2 linked regions of the Neodiprion lecontei genome follow. The protein of the gene in region 1 purifies or fractionates together with the protein of each later gene. This does not show direct contact. Links are inferred from orthologs where the notes say so. Each region holds a gene or a part of one and is shown on either strand. Other genes may lie near its edges.

Region 1 (8,525 bases):
ACTGATGTTGATGCTGTCTTTTTGATACTTCCAAACGCTGGTATCATTTTGTTATTATCCTGAGCAGCTCCAAAAACTGGAGCCTTTGTTTCACCCGCTCCAAAAAGCGGGGCAGGCTTGTTGTCCGTCATGCCAAACGACGGTGCTTGCTTATTTTCGTTACCTTCGAAACGTGGCGCGGAAGTGATAGCATTAAACGCAGGACTGTTGGTCGAGCCAAAAGATACAATTTCAGATTTATCAGGATGTGTCGTGGCGGCTATTGTACTCGCCTGCTTGGTGGATCCAAAAACAAACATTGAAGGCGTCGGCACTGATGTTGGAGCTGATACTGGAATTTGACCAAAACTTTGCACCACTTGACTCGGAACTGTCGTTGGTTGATTTGGAATCGTCGTTGCAGAACCAAACGTGAAGAGTCCGGGCGTCGGGACGCTGGCTGCGGTTGTCGTAACTGTTGACCCACTGCTAAGTGAAACAGGCACATTTATTGTGCCAAATGTGGGATTTTCTGCAGATTTGGTAATATCTGTATTGATGGATAATTTTGTTGTTATTGAACTAGATTGATCATTGGCCAAGATTGCTGCTGGAGCGTCGCTAGTTGGTGCTGAAAAATTTAATTTCTGGGATTCTGTGTTTGAAACAGTTATGTAAACTTCTGGTAATGTGTCTTTTTTGTTAACAGGTGCCTCAGTTTTCACCGCTCCAAAGGAAAATGATTGCTTTGCAGTAGTATTAGCTACTGGTTGTGCTCCAAATGCAAATTGTTTTTCTGCAGATGATTTTGCCTCTTCCGTTTTGGGTATACCAAATGAGAACGGAGCTTGATTCTTCGGTTCTTCGACATTCAATGAACGTTTTTTCGACACATTTTGAACAGCATCAGTTTCCTTAGTGTCCGATTTCTGTTCGAATTTATTTTTCTCATTATCTACAACACCGAACGTGAATCCTGAAGAATTCTGAGGTACACCGAAGGTAAATCCGCCAGCTTTGGGTGAGTCTGTCTTAGCGCCAAAGGTAAAACCTGTCGACGAAGGGACAGGCTTAATCGCGTCAACTTTTTCATCACTTTTGTCAATTCCAAATTTGAAACCTCCAGCATTCTCGGGTACTCCAAAACTGAACTGTACATTTGACCCACTACCTGTGGCTGACGTTGATTTTGCTACCTTCTTTGAACCGGGTCTCACAGCACTACAAGCTACGCATTCGATAACGTCTGCTTTATTCTGTACCATGCAATCGTCACACGTCCAAGCTCCCTCAGGTTTCTTAAACTTGTCACCAAATCCTAACGCCGGTGTACTTGTAGAATCGGATTTCGAAGTACTAAAGCATGGACAGATTAAAGTGGCTCTAGAATTTTTCTGTTTACATTTCAAGCACTCCCATAAATCTTCATTGGTCGACTTTGTTTTCTCCACAGAATCAGTGTTATTGGCCAACTGATTTCCACCGGGATTCGAAATGGTAGTCAACAATTCTGATGTGGCAGGTACTCTTTTAGGGCTGATCTTGAGGGAGCCAGGCTTTGAAGCGTTGCAGCAAGGGCAAGTTTCGACAGATGAATGATTTCGGAGCATACAACCAGGACATTCCCACGATCCTTCAGGAGGTTTAAATTTTTCCATTAAATCGGATTTTACTGATTCAGGAACAATACTGGATGTAGAACCGATAGTCGGAGCCTTAATGCTTTCAGATTTAGACATAGCGCACAACGTGCATTTGACATCACTTTGTTTGTTCGATGTTGCACAATTGGGGCACTCCCAATGGTTGCCGCTCATTTTGAACTGTGATCCGAAACAATCGGTGGTCACAGGCTTGGACTGTGTAACGGTAAGCGTTGACGATTCCGGTGTATGTTCTGTTGTCTTATCACCTTTGCAAAGTAACTTGGAAGCTTTACAACCAATGCACTGAGGCTCGTGTTGGTTGTTCTTCAACAAACACTGGTTACATTCCCACATGCCAACTACAGGTTTGTTGGCATCTGTAAGTAGGTCTGATTTCTTTCCCAAAACATCCATAACGCTGCCTGTTTTTAACTTACTGGACGTTTTGATTCCATCCACAACCACGTCCTCTTTGGGTTTTTCCTTCAATTTCGGGGCTGTCGAGGTCTTGGACCACATGAAATTATTACTAGACGAAAATCTAGCTGGCAAAGTATCAGATTCTGAACTCAATGTTCTCGAAAGTGAATGACCACCCTCTGCGGATTCTTTAACACTGGCATTGATTGGTTTGCTGAAGGTAAAGTTATTGATAGATTTTAAATTCCTAGTCGTGTCCGTCACTTTTATTGGGCTAGAGAACTTGAATAATTCATCTTTCACTCCTTTGGCCATGTTACTGGTGATTACTGGTAGCTTTATATCAAAAGTTGGCAAAGTACTAATAGGCAGTGTGACGCTTGGTAAGTTGACTGCATCGGTCACATAGTCTTGATCCAAGTCGGTTTTACCTTTACTTTTAACCTTGCCCGAGTATTTAGACTTCTCTTCATCGTCCGATCTGCAACACAAAAAATGAAATTAAATAGATTAAAAATTGCTCAATGTACAAAAGAACTCAAACGAAAAGCACTGTTCATTAAAAACTTGTATCAAATCAATCAGAATGTACCTCAATCTGTATTCCTGGGGAGATGGTGGAGGGGCACTGCGAGCCGAAACGATTCTCCTAGCCGCTACTGTGGTGTCTTGTAATCTCTGTCTACGTCTAAGCTTCAGGAGATCTGGCACTGTAGGTACGGTAAGTTCCCTAGTCAAATGACGCAGACCTACCCGAGCCAAGGGAGCACAACCTTCCTCCCTCTGCCGTTTCTTGCCACCGATCAGAGACGAGCTATTGTTTGCATTCATGGGAATTTTTTTAGCATCCAATATGGGGGATGAAAAATGCTCCAGTGCTTCCAATATCCTTTTAGCAGTTTGACTCATGGCTGATGAATCGGTACCAGTTACATTTGGTGACTTTACTTGAATGTTGGTTCGGTTTGGTACTTTCAATTGAAGTTCATTTGTACTATTGAACAACGTACGTCCTCGGCGTTGGAATCCTGCCATGTTGGCTCCTCCAAACGTGGTATTGCCGTTGTAAAACGGAGACGAGGACTGTCCTCGTTCAAGAGAATTATTCATTATTGACACATTGAAGCTCGGCTTCCGACTGCTCAACGAATCCCTAGGATTGCTATCCAAAAAGAGGGACCGTGGGGACTGTAGGTGATTTGCTGCAAACACAGAAACCGAAGACATGAAAACCTGAAATAAAAGATATGTAGGCAAAGTTTCGTGCTTTAACCAAATTTTTAGAGTGATCAAGAGCCCATTGGTCCACTATTGAAAATAAATCAATGCCCGATTACTTCTTGAATAAACATATAATCGACAATTACTCAAATTTTCAGACTTACTATAGTTTAGTTTATCTTCATTGTATCTCTTTCTGCTTGTTGACGATCTGTTGTACCCCAGACTTGAGGGTGCTTCTTGCCTGTTGACTTGTGGTATGAGAGAGCTGCATCCGCTTGTGCTCTCACTGGACTCTGAATTATCGTCTGTTCCATTAGCCGTACCGTTATTTTGTGGCGATGTTAACGAAATGAACTTTGTCCTGTTCCTTTGATTGCTCATACTGCCAATTTCTGATTGGATTGCAGGCGTCGACGCCACTAGACGACGAACCCCACTAGTTCCAGCTACTGAAGGTTCTAGGAAATCGGTTGTCTGAAAATTCGTAAATATAATTAATAAAGAATATTTATAGATAACAAATAATGGTTTGAGTAAAGGAACAAAATGAACATTTAAATAATTACAGTTTCATTGTGGATAATGTAATCTTCTTTTCGAGGGTCGACCTCCTCATTATCTGGAATTCTACTTCTTGGCTGTATATTGAATGTTCCGGGGGGGTGAGTTACATCCATACGAATCCGTGGCCGCTTTGAAGGCGGAGGTTGCTGTGACTCCTGCTCATTCTCAGAGCCCTCGAGGTTCTCCTCATCATTTAACATTTCGCCATTATCTTGCGACGAATTAAACCATTTGCTTATCCACGATCTCTGCGGTATCAGATCTGTGACTTTCGTAGCGACTTTTTTCACGAAAGACTGGTAATAAAAAATATCAATTAGCATTATTCAAGGGAGTTTATAAAAATATCAGGTTTTTTGGGAAAAATCATTTAGACTGCAAGATTAACTGAGGCTCATATTTTAAGCTTAGATTTGTTCAAAGACTAGCTGAAGGCTGAAGTAACTCTAGATACTATAAATATTAAGTGAAAGTAAAACGAGAATTTCAATCGCATTTCGACATAGGAAGTAATATATAACTAAAAATTGAATGTTTATCTTGACAGACATAAATAGCTTGTGGTTGATATATCGGATATACAAGACAGTGTAAATTGTTGCAATGTGCCAAATTGCATGTACTATAATGTGTGATAATAATTCAAGCTAGAACTAGCCAACAGAGATATTGAGAATATCGGATTTCGAGAGTTAGAGGAACAAATTCCATTAATTATGTAATTTATAGATAATATTGACGTAACGAGCTCGACGGCTTTATGCACGGTAAAAATTATTGTTATTAGATACAAGAATCGGTGTAAGAAATTGAACAATTGTCCAAGAACCCATGCAGCATTTCAAGGTTAGAACGTTTTGAATGACGATAAATTCCGCCGTGGGTGTGCGCCTATCGAGTTTGAGGTTATTTGATGCGGGTAAAACTTTGTCAAGTATAATATTTGATCGAATTTGATTGCCGGGGATTGGGAAGGATATCGCAATCGGTTCGATCGTTACTCGGAGCACGTTTTAAAATCATGTCTATTTTGGGAAACGCGCGAAGGACCGTTGGAAGGCAACTTTTGTCGCGGGAGGCCAGTGGCCGAGACCTCGGAACGAGTTTCTACTCACGTTGTTTGCGTCGTAGGGCTTGGCGTTCCTCGAACGTTTGTTGTTCAAACTGTTACCTCCTTTTGCCATGATCGCACCATTTACTTGTTTATTATTACACACTCACATTAATTTAGATTACTGCATATCAAACTGACACCTCACATCGTCCAACTTTCACGACGAAACCACGAGAAAATATGGCGGTTCCTCCACCACCGTGAGGGGTCAAGCTTCCCGTTGGCTCGTGGACACGTGACACCGCGGATCGACTCTCGCCGCCTCGACTATCGATATTGCCGATAACTAGACGATAGAGCGAGTTTTAACCACATGGGTCTTACATACTTTGGCAACTTCGGTGGTGGGGGTATGTGCTCTTATTGAAGCACCGATCGTTTCGCCTAGTGACCACGAGTGTCGCTGCGATAGAGGGATGCAGCACGGGATGCAGGATATGTGGTTTAACCTGTTTCTATCTCTCTCACACAGCCTGCATCCTTTATCGCAGCGACACTCGTGGTCACTAGGCGAAGCGATCAGTGCTTCAATAAGAGGATACCCTCACCACTGAAATTTCGACCGAGTTGCCAGACCTGTATATAAGACCGTGGTTTTAACACCGATGTATTAGGGAATTTCGAAAAATATTATTTACGATTTTCCACCATGGCACCCTCTAAAACGTTCGTTTAGGTTAAAAGAAAGGTTCTGTCCAAATATGCATGTTCTACGTTATGAGGAAGATGACGCTCAGTCCATTTTTTACTTTTATAAATTTTTTTAAAAATTCTGATCTATCACGAATAAAATTTACTTCTTTTATCATTGCTTACATCAATCGTAATATCAACTAGATGTAAAACCCTCGCTCGCCACGCTCACTCACTCGATTCGATAAGCTTTACTGTTAGCGGTTTACCATATATGCGTAAAATTTTTAAATTTAACCGACTACGTGATAACTCGTATACATCGTAATGTACTTATATAGTATACATGATAGTCTACCTGGTGAATTCCGACGTCCACATAATGACGATCAGCAAACTACTTAAACTTTTGTGATATAACGCGTAGCAAGTTTCTCTCAAACTGCATAAAATAATATTTTGTTTGTCGCTGTGTGAAATGCGCCATTTTTACGCTTGGAAAAATCGCACCAGGTCAAAGTCACATCTCCACTATGTTTACAACGTGCCATTCGTCTGTCTGTGTACTATATTAGCAACTGACCGATAGATGCGTTTTCGCTAGTTTCCATTTTTTTTTTTTTTTTGTTATTGTTCCTGAATTTTTCTATTGTTTCCTGAAACGTAAATACATTTTACTTTGTTAGTCAAATACACTCACTGAATAACATTTTAGACAATAAATTAAACTCGCTAAATAAACGTTCCCGCAATCTTGCCGTATACGTACGTACTGCTCCACGGCTGTTTGGATATCAACTAATTGTAAGACCATCGCCGGCAATTTCGAATGAATATGAGTTATAATGGACAGACGAACTAATTATAAATTATATATCTCATGTATGTACAAGGATTACTAATTACTATTTCATTTATGTACTACACACCAACATGTATACATCGCTAACATACTTTCTCTATCCTTTCTAAAAAAATAGGATTTCTGAAGGGACGTAATATTTTCAAAATCTCCAACGTCGTAAGCTTCAACTACAAAAATATTGTTACAAGACTTATTGAGGAACACATTAATTATTATACATTACTTACCATGTATCATACATACTGCGAGTTATTGTATTATCGAATTTTTGGCAGATACAACCTTACGGAATTAGCCGATGTAGGATTTCATAATTGAATCAGTATCAATAGAAAACTGTATCTACCAGGTGATCCTACAGCTGAGCGCGAGTGATGAAAGTCAAGATCCAGCAGGTAAAGAACCTGGAGCACAGGAACTACATAGCGCTAGTCCTGGAAGTCAAGTTTCACTAGGTAAAAGATTTGAACAGCCGAAACTACGGAGCGGTCGTCCTGGAAGTCAAATTTCACCGGATCAAGGACCTCTAGACCTGGAAGTCAAGTTTCACTAGGTACAGGATCTGTAAACCTCATAAAATAGTTATAATTTAATATTATGAACTTTTGATTTAGAAGAATAAGATTCCCGGTTGATATATCGTTGTGTTATGGATCGTGATCTTTGAGTTGAATATAAGTTTTAGGAAAGAAATAAGAATCGAAGTCCTACGACGTGATTCTTCACAAATTCAAAAAAAATAAATTGAAAAAAACATGAAAAATCAAATGAGCACGATCTTCCACATAACGTAGATCCCTCATATTTTCCCAAAATCTTTCTTTTAAACTTTCAATTCAAATACACGTACACCAGTTAAACCGAAAACTGCATTCGAGGACCTACAGTTTACTGAACAGAATACCGAATCTCGAGATATACCGCAACGATTGCACGGAACACATATGCACTTGCTAATCTTACAATTAATTTTTTGCAACACCTGCGTGGAAAGTCCATTTTTATGCACCATTTACAAGCACCGAAAGTAGTCTTTTATACACATGTGCGGGAAAAACTTTCGCGCATTACTAGGGGTGTGAGAAAAAAACCTTCGCACATTGCCGGCGGTATAAGATGAACCTTCGCACATTGCTAGCGGTGTGCGAAAAAGACCGTCGCGCTTTTATCCACAGTTGCGTATTTCGCAAACAGCTCCACTAGCCCTACCGATGGAATAGTTTGTCACTCTTTGCCGTGCTCGACATCGCTGCATCGTCACTAAACAGACATCGTGCCGTGGTTTCGTGTAAAAATAATCGTGTATGTCGGACTTTCCATTACAGGTGTAGCAAAAAATAGAGTTCGATACACGTGCGAAAGTTGGCAATGCCTATCTCGCGTGAATGCGCCACACTCGCCCTTCAACTCGTCTCCAGGCTCGTGCTGCGCCTTCATGCTTGTGCGGGCATTGCCACCTTCGCGCACTAGTATCGAAAAACACTATTATACAGGCAGGTCACATAATGTACAGTTCATACAATTGGTTGCGAATTTCAAAGGTTCTTTACATTGATTCGTCTGAATGACGGGCCGATAAGTACTGTACAAAATTAAAAAGCTTCGGTTCATAAATTTGTGCGATCTAAGTTGTCTTTGACGCTGCAAAATTATTTAAGGATTTGGAAAAAATTATATTTCAAGCTTATAAGCTATTCTCGAAATAACCTCAAACCTATGCATTATTTTCAGTGCACCTTGTTACTCTACTGATGGATATAATTATTTTCTTCTTTCTATATTCAGACGGAACTGTATAAACTCTCATTTCTAAAGAATTACATTACACAACACAGTGCGACTCGGCCTAGCTAGCGAAGAATCAAATAATTGTCCCATTTTTGAAACTCGCTTGATAATGGATTCCGTCGAAACAGCGAATCACATAACATTGCGCCTGCAGCTTTTGCAATCCTTTCTGTTCTCACATCAGCTAGACAGCGTGCAGGCCACGCGGAGTAATTGGTTAAGTTTTCAATATTGACATTTTCGGGGATTTTCAGCGAGGCAGCGAATAACACGCGATACCGTAAACTGAGAA
Region 2 (10,676 bases), on another chromosome or scaffold:
ATAACCTTTATTTGTTTTCAGTCAAACGAACCACCAGAAACCATTAGTGTAGCTTCGTTCGCGCAAAAGTTTAGACCTCGGATGGTGCAATATGTGCCATCACCTCCCTATGCAATGAAATTAATGTCACCCAGATTAAATAATGACCCTTTAATATCCAACGCCTCCGTATCACTCCCAAAAAAATCGCATATCGGTGGTACGATGAATGGCTATCCCTTAAAACTGTTAGAGTTTATGGTAAAAGTTGACAAAATATTAGCGGCAAAGAAAATCAAGATAAAGAAACTGAAGGAAATGAACAGTGAGGCGGAAAAGAGACGGTCTTTCGGTGAGCCTTTGCCAGCTGACTTTGAGAGAAAATATGCAGGGTAAGAATTTTGCTTAGTAATGTATTGAATAGAAACAACGAACGGATTAAAAATAAAATTTCTTTGTGATTACAGGATAGTAGTTGAACTTGAAAAGATGAATGTAGCGCTTCAAGATTTCTTGAACGACGTACAAGAGTTATGTCAAGAAATGGCTCCGGAACCAAGCGTTGCTGCTATGCTGGCTCCTTCTCATTTGCGGGAAAAGTGCCATCAAGAAGCGGCCGATATGGTTGCTAGAAATGATGTCATTAACGATAGGGCACCAGCAAAGATGAGCGAACTTGTCACAGACCTCACTGCTCTCATGCTTCAAGTAAAGGTAAATCTTGTTCCTAGTTTTACTCCACTTTTCACAACAAAATCTTCCTCAAATTCTCCCAATACGTAGAATTCCAGCAAAGAAATGCAGATTTCTTTCCAAAAGTCATAATATCCAATTCTTTTCACAGAGCTTGTCGGATTCTGATCGAAATGCCTATGAATTGAAAGTACTTCAAGGAACCATGGAGCAAATTAGATCGAAACTGAGTCCTCAAAATCAACAAGTGTTTCAAAACTGCGTTGAAATTCATATGCAGCATATTCAACTTGGTTTGGGAAAAATAGGGGCTTTAACGCCATTTATGTCTCAAAAAGTTTAGTATTAACTTTGTTGAATCATCATACTCTTAATGAATGGCAGGCAGTAATTTTCAGACGCGTGCAAGAGTATTCTGTAATCTAATGAGAATTTATTCGAGGAAAATAATAGTTGTACTACACTTGCACGCTTCTACTTACTGTAATGATTTGATGTGCGCCTGTCGTCACTGTTCAACTAAAAGTTGATTCACGCTATCCAGCATGGACCAGTACGACCTGGAACGAACATTTATCGGAATTTCCACGGCATTCCTACGGAACAAGCACCCACTAAGCAGCAGTTAATCACAGGAGGATCAATGGCCAAATCTCTAAGCGTCAGCGATTTGGCTGTTATGGAATTACTTCTTGACGAGAACATGTAGTGAAAGCTAAAATATGTCTACGAATATAGGTGCAATGAATATTTAATACAAAATCAAGAAACGACACACATTGGATACGTTTGATTTAAACAATTGATGAAGTACGAAGAAAATTTTTATTAATAGATAGTTTTGTTACAGCCCGTGTTGTATGATGTGAATCAATCTTTACTATCCAATTGTATAGACTCCTTCATCGTTCATCAGGCATACTCATAGTTCATACATTATATCTACATTTTGTTTTTTGTTTTATAAAAAGACAAGAAGTACGAGGAATTGCAGTTAGAAATGGTAATGAATTTTGAACTAACGTGGTGTAAGCATTGTCTACACCTTACACGGAATGATTCTTCTGATCTTTCTGCAATAATCAATATTTTCTTGACATTATCAGCAAAAATTTTTACTCAAGTCATTTACTTTGAATTAAATGTCTACATAATATATCTAGTATCTTATTGTGTACTTTATAGAGGTGTAAAGTGGTGTGATAAATGCAATGGCAAACATTGTTGCCCGTTGCAAAATTTTGTATGCATCACTTCGGTAAAAATAGAAAAGATCTTTTTTTTTTTTCGTCCGTATTTCTGCACCACTGCTAACGTTCAATTACACAGTTAATACTTGCGTTGAAAATAATTATGTATTTACTTACAATTACAAATATATATCTTAGGATTAAAACATTTAGTAATAATATTAAATAGTAAAAGAAAAATATTATGAAAAAATTGTAACTAGAAGAATGTTGTGTTGAATACTTGAGACGATTGAAAATATTTAATTACTATTATACACGTTCATACCCTAATAATAAATGGAGAAATTAATATTTTACGGAAATTAAAAGGTATGAGGAAATGTAGAATATTACGAGTTGCATATATTATACAGGCGCTATAAATTGTATCTAAAATAATAGATGAAACATAATTTGAGATGGAGACGTTCTAAACAGATTTATATATCCCTGAATTGTTGCTTTTTGAGGGAAAGGATACTCAATGTAATTCAACTACATGTAGCGGTATAATTTCAGATGCTTTATTTATATACAGTTAATTATTTAACATGGGGATTATGTAACAGTGTACTTTTATTCGTATCAAAGTATCGTGGAAACTCACTATAATTCATTTTATTCCCGTAATATTTATTTCAACACAAGTAAAAAGTAAAATTTTACGGAATAAAGGCTAATAATAAATTCACAGCAACGCGCATCTAAGACTTTAATACAAAAAAGTTGACCTAAAGTATTTTGAATATCCGATGTATTACTGGTCAATGATGAGAGTTTATTCGTTTCAATTTTTGTTCAACTGACGGTCGCGTATCATCGTTGGTTACTCATCTGTCTGAAAGAGTTAATTATATTTTCGATTAGTACTAACAGATACAGACGTTGTAATGTTCGGTCACATGCATTACTAGATCCATTTGCATTTACGTTAACACGTCATCACCCACGATACGACACTATTGTCGATAATAGAGCATAGAATCCATTTTACATAGATTCATTTTCTGTCTCTGATAACTTAAGTAAGTTACTATTTCTTATCGCCACTTAAAAAAATTTCTTATCTACAGTAACAATTTGGAGGAAGTGTCGGTAAAATTTTTTTTGCAGTATTTATAATACCAAGACTAAACGATCTCATATATAAAAGTGGCTTTTATTCTTTCTAAAATCAAATGAGGTGAACAGGGAGTATTCCTGTAATGAGTTTAGCAGAAACCACTTATTTGTGTATAACTCATCAACATATAAACGCGTCCGAGTTCAATTTGTTCCGAATGCGTATTCGCGTGATTTATTTGAAGCTTGAATTCGTTTGTTGCAATATTCCAATTATTGATCACGATTGTGATCATTGTGTAAATGTAAAACTGACGAGACTGTATTCTACTTGCGTATTATTATCTATATCAATAGTACTAAGCTGTAAATGTCGTACATTAACATTTATATAGCATCTTTAGTTTCTGATAAGAAACATGTACACATTCACGATTGTTTTGCTTTCATTCAAGAATTGACATCTGCCATAATGACTTATGGATTGATATCCGTTGAACAATGGTCGGTGGGCATGATTAAAAAAATCATTTCTTGTGCTTATTAAGCTTTTCTAACAACGCATCGGCGTCCTCGCTTGTCTTAACTCTTAACAAAACTGGTGTCGGTGGTGGTTTGGAATCTGGTGTTGGAAGAAGAACCATCATAACGTTATTCTTTCCCATACGCTGCATTGGTATGCCCTCGGTTAATATTGTATTCAAGAGTAAATTTCCGCACGAAGTATCGGCACGCACTATTAGCTGTGTTTTGTCGTTGGGTGTAGGCTTCAGAAACAGGGTACCTACTCCTCGATCAGCAAAATTTCCATCTTTTTTGACAAATACCTTGCATCTGCGAAAAGCAATTTATATCCCATAAATTTCATCTGCCATTGAATATCGTGCTAGTGTAGTGAACAAATATTCACTAGAACATAGTACGTAACAAACATATTTAGGTAAATTTCATATAAAACAGATAAATAAGAATCGCATGTTCCTTTCAACTGTCTTACCGTTGTTCATAAATTGCATCGTCTTCCGTGATTGGTTTGAAGTCTGGTTTCGGTGGTTCGTCATCATCATCTTTTTCTTCATCTTCTTTAGTCTCTTCTGCTTCTGTAGTTTTAGCCACATTGCCAAAAGAAAATGGTTTTCCACTGTAAGGAGATATATAGATACAATTACAAAAAGAAGGCTGATAATGTTTCAATATTTCGTGAATATATGGGTAGAAAAACATGAAAACGGAATATGAAACTCATCGTAACAACCAATAAAAAATTTACTCCCGGAAAGAGGACGTACCCTCCGAAACTGAATCCTGCCGAAGCTGTACTGGTTGCTGAACTTTGGCCAAAGCTGAATGTGGCTGTGGGACCAGATGGTGGACACGAAAGACTTGCTGTTGGTTTCTGATCAGTAATGTCAGATTCGGTTTCCTTTTTCTTATCTTCTACAGCTGTAAATGATGTACTTAAAAATGGATTCCGTTCAGTGGAAACACTGCCAAAAACGCTTTTGACTTCCGAGGTAGTTTCAGTATTCCCGAATAACGATTTTCCAACATTCACATTCTTGAAAATCGATGATTCGCTTTTCGACTCTGCATTTCCCACTGATGGATTACTAAAGACCGACTTCTTAGTCTGTGATTCAGTCTTTCCAGTTTCCAAATTCGACTTACTCTTAACGGGTGAACTTTCCAAGTTAGATTTTTCCCCAGTCTTTTCTGGGCTCAAAATTGTCGGGGTGGTTTCCTGTCCGTGTTTAGCTTCAATTTCTTTAAGATGCTTGTCATAATCTTTAAATATTGGGGTTAAAATACAAAACGGATTTGAATCTACGTGTGACTTGATCCATTGAGTGACGCTTTCGTTAAGTCCCTTCAATTTTGCATAATAATCTGTTGATTTTTTGAAAATCTTCCCATCTTCCTTTCCAGTTGGAAAATGCTTAGCATCCGAATTTTTCGACATTGATTCCTGTTTCAACGAAGAAGAATCTTTGCTTTCTGGCCCATTCGCTGCTGGGTTAACCGATCCATTGCTCGAACCTACTTTATTAGCTACCGTTTTTTCACTACTCTTCGTATTTGTTGCATTACTAGTATTTGCAAGGAAGCTAAAGGGTGAAGAACCGGCAGGTGCAGCAGTTTTGAAAGCAGTAAACGCGCCAAACGCTGCTTTTGGTGCATCCTGAAACAGTTTGAAATATTACGAGATACAATCAACTTCGGACAACAAAAAAGCAATGCGCTTTGGTGCTAGGGATCTTTGTATTTTTCAGCAATGTTTCCAAACTTACATCCCCTCCGCTGTTGACTATTCGCCGTCTGGCCGATTTGATGACTCTTCTCTGCAAATCTTCTTTCGATGCTTTGCTAAACGTTCCTGCCTCTTCCCGAGTTTCTTCATCGTTCCAATTATCGTGATTCAGCTCTGAGGTAGCAGTTCGTTTGCCAGCCATCACTGAGCGGTCTAAAATCAGAATGATTTTTTCAGTTTTAATTTCAGACAGGCTGTGGTAATCGATTTGCATTTAATCAACAAATTATCAGAGCAATATTTCAATTCCCGAGGATAGAAGGACTATCGTGTCGTAAGAATTTAGGTATTAATCCAGTTAGGCGCTTATCTCTTACGAAACATTTAGCAATTGCGATAAGCATTAGGATTTTGAAATTGTCGAAGAGCGAATATGCGATCTGAATATAACAGCGGGTTTACGGTGAAGTTGACATGGCAATGCAAGTACATAGTAACAGTCGATTCAATACTGTTTCGAGGTTATGAAAAGGATTCGGTCGAAATAGAATTGGATCAATTTCGGCCGTTACCCGCTTAAACAGTTTCAACATAACGCCATTCAATGTGATTTCCGTAACAAATAAAAACCAGCAGTCGATCGATATGAAATTGGAGTGCGAGTAAAAAAAAAGTACACATTTATAGGTTAACCGCCACTCGATCGGGAGTATATTCGAAAGTGGCAATTGTCAATTCATTGCAACGATACAGCGTCGAGAATCGCTAGCGTACCTGAGTTTTGATAAACGGTATGCAATCTGTCGATGAAAAGTCCACGTTAACCGCGTTAGTGTCTATTTGTACGATAATATCTCGCGAAACATGAGTGATAAATCGCAAGTAAATGTTCCGCGCTAAACTGGCGCGTTAGACTTTTTGCCTTTTGATGAAAAAAAAATGTCAACTCGGGGCCGGCTGGGCTGGCCGGCAATCGTAGTTGGTCGTGTAGTGTCTGTGAAGGGCCGAAGGGGGGATGAAAATTCGGGAGTTGTGGACCAGGCCGTTGTCACGACGAGGGCGCCACGATCATTCGGCAGGCATCAACCACACACCCCTGCGCGCTCTTATTATTGGGAAAACATCTGCCGCTGCGTCGGAAAATCTCTTTTAAATGGCCGAGATTTAATTGAAACTGAGTTGAAATATCGTGTAACACAACGGGGGTAGGTTGTCCGATAAACAAGCTAAATGTTTACACCGGTAGACCGGTCGGTATTTTCCCAAATTAACCGCAACTTAGATGGAAAATAGCTTTGGCAATACCGAAAGGGGGGTTAACGCAAGTTGCTCGGTGTGTCGTGTGTCTGTCGTCGTCGTTGTGCCCGCGTCGGTGAAAACCTACACACGGCCCCGTCAAATATCCGACTTGTGCGGATGGTCAATTGTTTGTGGTGGTGGGTGAATCGGGCAAGTGCCGTGGTGCGCGCCGTGCCGAGGAGCCGAGAGGAGAGAGATATTGCTTCGCTCTATTTTGTGAATAATTATATCTGTTGAGAGAAAATTCAACTCAACTGGTGTCGTCGTTGAAACGCGGTGCCGATAACGAAGCGAATTCGTCAACTTCGGAATAACTCGAGTCCAACTTCCAGGCCCGACTATGGAGATATCGAAAAGTTTGCAGGATGAGATACACTCCGTGCAAAACAAGCTCAAATACGCCATACAAAATCATCAGGCAAGTAATTTCCTCCTCGTTGTTTGTCCGTCGACGGACTTTTAATACCTGCATCGTACAACCTGACGCGCGTTTCTTGTGCAGTTACATGTACCGTACACGCATGTATCACCGTAGGCTTCCTGCATCATTTACACACTGTTACACTCTCGGAGCGCAGCGACGACGAGGGGAAAGGGGGCTTAGAGATGATGCTAAAACTTTCGACGAGTGCGATCAAGCCGTGCAGCGCGATTGACTTTTTCGATCCCAATTAATTTTCCGATCACATTCACGCGGTTGTCGGATTTAAGAGGAGAATTTACCCAAGGAAAAATCAGCGCGATAGAGATACAAGTTGTTCGATATCGACGTAACTTGTGCGCCTAATTTCGCGTGCAGTTTAACCGCTGCAATTATACCGCAACATCGCTATAAATTTTGTCGGATATATCGAGCCAAACCAACGATAAGTCTACGTCTCCACGCACAGTTTTTCAGGTGCGACGTATAAAATAGCGTGTATTTCTCGCTATCGTCGGTGTGTTTTTTTTTTATCGTCAGTTTGATACTTCAATTAACCAAGGTCGCCGCTGTGGCCGTATATTGTCGACGCGTCGTTACGTTTTGTATGATTTACGATACAGGCATAGTTATTTCCACGTCTTATTTCGACGATCTCTGTCACATCTCCGCGTCGTTACGTTTGCATTTCACGTGATAATTCGTCGATCTTCACCCGCAGCTGCAACATCGTTACCCACAAATCGCACACAACGTGTCCGCTTTCTTTCTTTCATCGTCAAATTGACAAATAATATAAGTTTCGGTATTAGTTATTGTTGCGCGAGTATCAAACTACTCGAGTAGTATTAAACTTACTCCGTTGCTCGTGTCGTGTTCTTCTTTACCAATTGAAAGCAGCGCGCAACATGTCGCGCGCGACTTTTTCACCCGCACAAGAGTTAAAAATCTTACCTAAGAAGTCACGCGAGGTAACCTCGCGTAACATAAAAACTTTCCGCCACTTTTTTACTTCCGCTTTTCGCTTCGCATTATTTCCCAAGTTTACACGTTACAACTTTAAACCGCTGTGAAACTTTTATTATCATCCCCCTCCCCCCCCCCCCATCGTTATAAATATACACACGCTGTTGCGTGTACTGCATGTAGTAGTTTTCAATCGACGGAAAATTCTCCCGCGTTATCTTCGTAAGAATTAACGTCTCACTTAGCATCGTTGAATATTCGAGCAACGTATCGTATGTACAACCAAATCTTATGCCTTGGTTTGTACGTATATGCGTACTGCGTGCAAGTATGTCTCTGCGACACGGTAAACGATATTTCCGTTTCGCAGCGCAACGATAAAAGAATAATACCAAGAAGAATAAGCAGATCTCCGGTTCTTTCTTTTTTTTTTTTTACAGATATATGCGTATTGTTTTGTCTCGCACACACGATACGTGGGATAAAATTTCCACAGTTACTACATTGCTTCGACTATAATAATCATCGATTATGGATCAATTCTGTTTCAATAGTTAAATTGTTGTACGAAATAGACCGATCAATTATTCTCACGACGCGTAAGCTATTTTTTTTTTTTTCCCCCTATCTTTTACTTTTAAAACACCACAACAAACAAACCATATGCGCTTATACACGAGTTTTTGGTGCACACATTCGTCAAGACGATAACGCAGAGCTGCAATGGCGGCAGCGTCTCGTATTTATAAATACGTATGGATAGATTTTCCGAAAATATTAATATCCCCTAATTTTAAGTGCGAATGATCCTCTCCACGTGCGTGAGGCAAAAAATACGATAAAAAAACGACAGAAAAAATTAAGATTAAGAATTCGAATGAAATTATAAGGAGAATCGTGCACGCAGATATCAGGCGCAAGTCGTAATGTCACGTAGGCTTGTTAAACCCGCCTCTGCGTCTATAAGCAGCGGTAAATCCGTGTATGCAATTGTATAGTATGTGTGAAATGTACGCCATTGTATGCGCGATGTGCAGCGGACACTGTTTACGTAACTCAAGTGTAAATTGATAGATTATACTTACATCGGTTTACCCTTTTTTTTTTTTGGTTTTTTTTTTCTAATTTTATAACGTTATACAGTGGCCAGAAATACTACATTGAATTAACTTTCTTTGGTTTGCTTATTTGTTGCTGGTTCAATTTAACGGAAGAAATACCCTCAAGTTGTATCTCTAACAATGCTTAATATTTAATCGTCGTAACAACATTGGAGGTATCACAATATACGACTAATTGGGAAATAATTGTGATCAAGGAATGTTGAAGAAAATAATCAAATTCATGTGATTTTTACGGTTATAGTAAGGAACTCATTGAGCATTGAGATCCATGGAATACATTTCCAACACGATACAAGTATAATTTGGTAATTGAGAAAATTTGTGTACACAATATGGCTTGGTTAAAATTGTTTATAGTTGTATATTTTACTTTCATTCTAAATTGCGTATTTTCATTATTTATTTTCGTCTATGCGTAATTGAACCCTAAATCGTTATTCTACCATTCTTAAGCTGCTGTATTTTTGATCCAGACTGTACGCGTGAAACATCCTTGAAATTAGTCATGTTTCCATAACTAGTAATATCTTATCAGGGTTTATTTGGTTTCCAGGATGAGTAATCCATAACTGTTCGTAATACAAAGGACATTTAATTTGTTGTTGGTATAGCGAAGTAAGTTGAAACGATTGTAAAATATATATATATATATATATATATATATATATATTTGAATATTAAATTATTTTTCTCTTTATTCTCGCAGGTGTACGTGGGGAAGCTCAACGACGACCCAAACGTAAGTTGGATAAAAAATATACGACGATCATTCAATTCGATAATTGCTAATTCCTCCAGGATTCAATTCTTACACCGATCCTCAATTAATCGGCCCTAACAATAAGGCGTAGTGGTTTAATTGGGGGTTGAATTGATCTGCAAAGTAATTCGCACGATTCAACGATTCAACGATTCAAGAGTATTTTGCGATTCCTGAATCGTTAGCAAATATCGTTTATTTTTAGTTGTATTGGATTAAATTTTAAGCAATGATTCGATTGAACATTTAATCTGAACAAAATGAACACTAAAAATTTGATCGGTTCAAAAAGCACGAATCGTTTTTTCCAGTTCCTTTTACCGATTACTTTATTGCTTTGATATGATTAATTCACTTGCGTGTTAATCAATTTAGTGGGTTACTTATAACATATAAGAGTTGAATTTTGTAATCAACCAAATGGAACAACTTGTTCTTCTGAATATTAATTTATTTCTGTAAAGTTTCGGAATACAATGGTTTTGCCATTCCCTTTTTCCGTAAATCGCACCCAATACAGTTTACGAATGAGAAGTTGTAAAACCGAATCATCAAATTTTATTGAATCATAAAAACACAGTTGTTTAATATTGTTCACCCGGTTCATATTGTACATTATAATAATACATGTCCGTTTTGAGGGTGAAAATTGCAAACCTTAGACCGACAGCTAGAAGGCTAGATTGACGTGTAATTTACATTCAACAGCCATAATCGTTGGCTTAGTGCCGTTAGTTTAATCCTAGTTTAGAAATAACCGTTGCTCTTCTGTCCTAATGATCCTAAATTATCTCCGTTTAAATCCCTCGACAAACAGTTTAACTGTATGACTTTTGTTGCCAGTCACCGAAATCCAACGACAACTGTGTGTAAAAATAACAATTTATAAGAT

The links.
Region 2: the proteins of nuclear pore complex protein Nup153 (region 1) and nuclear pore complex protein Nup50 purify together in Homo sapiens (affinity purification with mass spectrometry; 8 studies listed by BioGRID and IntAct, counting the BioPlex papers as one, with this or other methods). This does not show direct contact. The link is inferred for Neodiprion lecontei from reciprocal best matches to the Homo sapiens genes NUP153 and NUP50.

What each region holds. Positions count from the first base shown.
Region 1 is NC_060261.1:2,218,984-2,227,508, forward strand, and holds the start of nuclear pore complex protein Nup153, read right to left. Parts: upstream 5,184-8,525; 5' UTR 5,018-5,183; coding exon 4,949-5,017; intron 4,130-4,948; coding exon 3,836-4,129; intron 3,744-3,835; coding exon 3,431-3,743; intron 3,248-3,430; coding exon 2,638-3,247; intron 2,527-2,637; coding exon 1-2,526. UniProt on the Homo sapiens protein: Component of the nuclear pore complex (NPC), a complex required for the trafficking across the nuclear envelope. Functions as a scaffolding element in the nuclear phase of the NPC essential for normal nucleocytoplasmic transport of proteins and mRNAs.
Region 2 is NC_060265.1:9,403,432-9,414,107, reverse strand, and holds nuclear pore complex protein Nup50, read right to left. Parts: upstream 6,219-10,676; 5' UTR 5,989-6,218; intron 5,428-5,988; 5' UTR 5,417-5,427; coding exon 5,255-5,416; intron 5,146-5,254; coding exon 4,256-5,145; intron 4,108-4,255; coding exon 3,964-4,107; intron 3,801-3,963; coding exon 3,494-3,800; 3' UTR 2,413-3,493; downstream 1-2,412. Other genes in the region: protein lin-9 homolog, read left to right, coding at 22-371, 447-693, 824-1,009, 1,217-1,381; uncharacterized protein LOC107217553, read left to right, coding at 6,854-6,931, 9,731-9,763. UniProt on the Homo sapiens protein: Component of the nuclear pore complex that has a direct role in nuclear protein import. Actively displaces NLSs from importin-alpha, and facilitates disassembly of the importin-alpha:beta-cargo complex and importin recycling.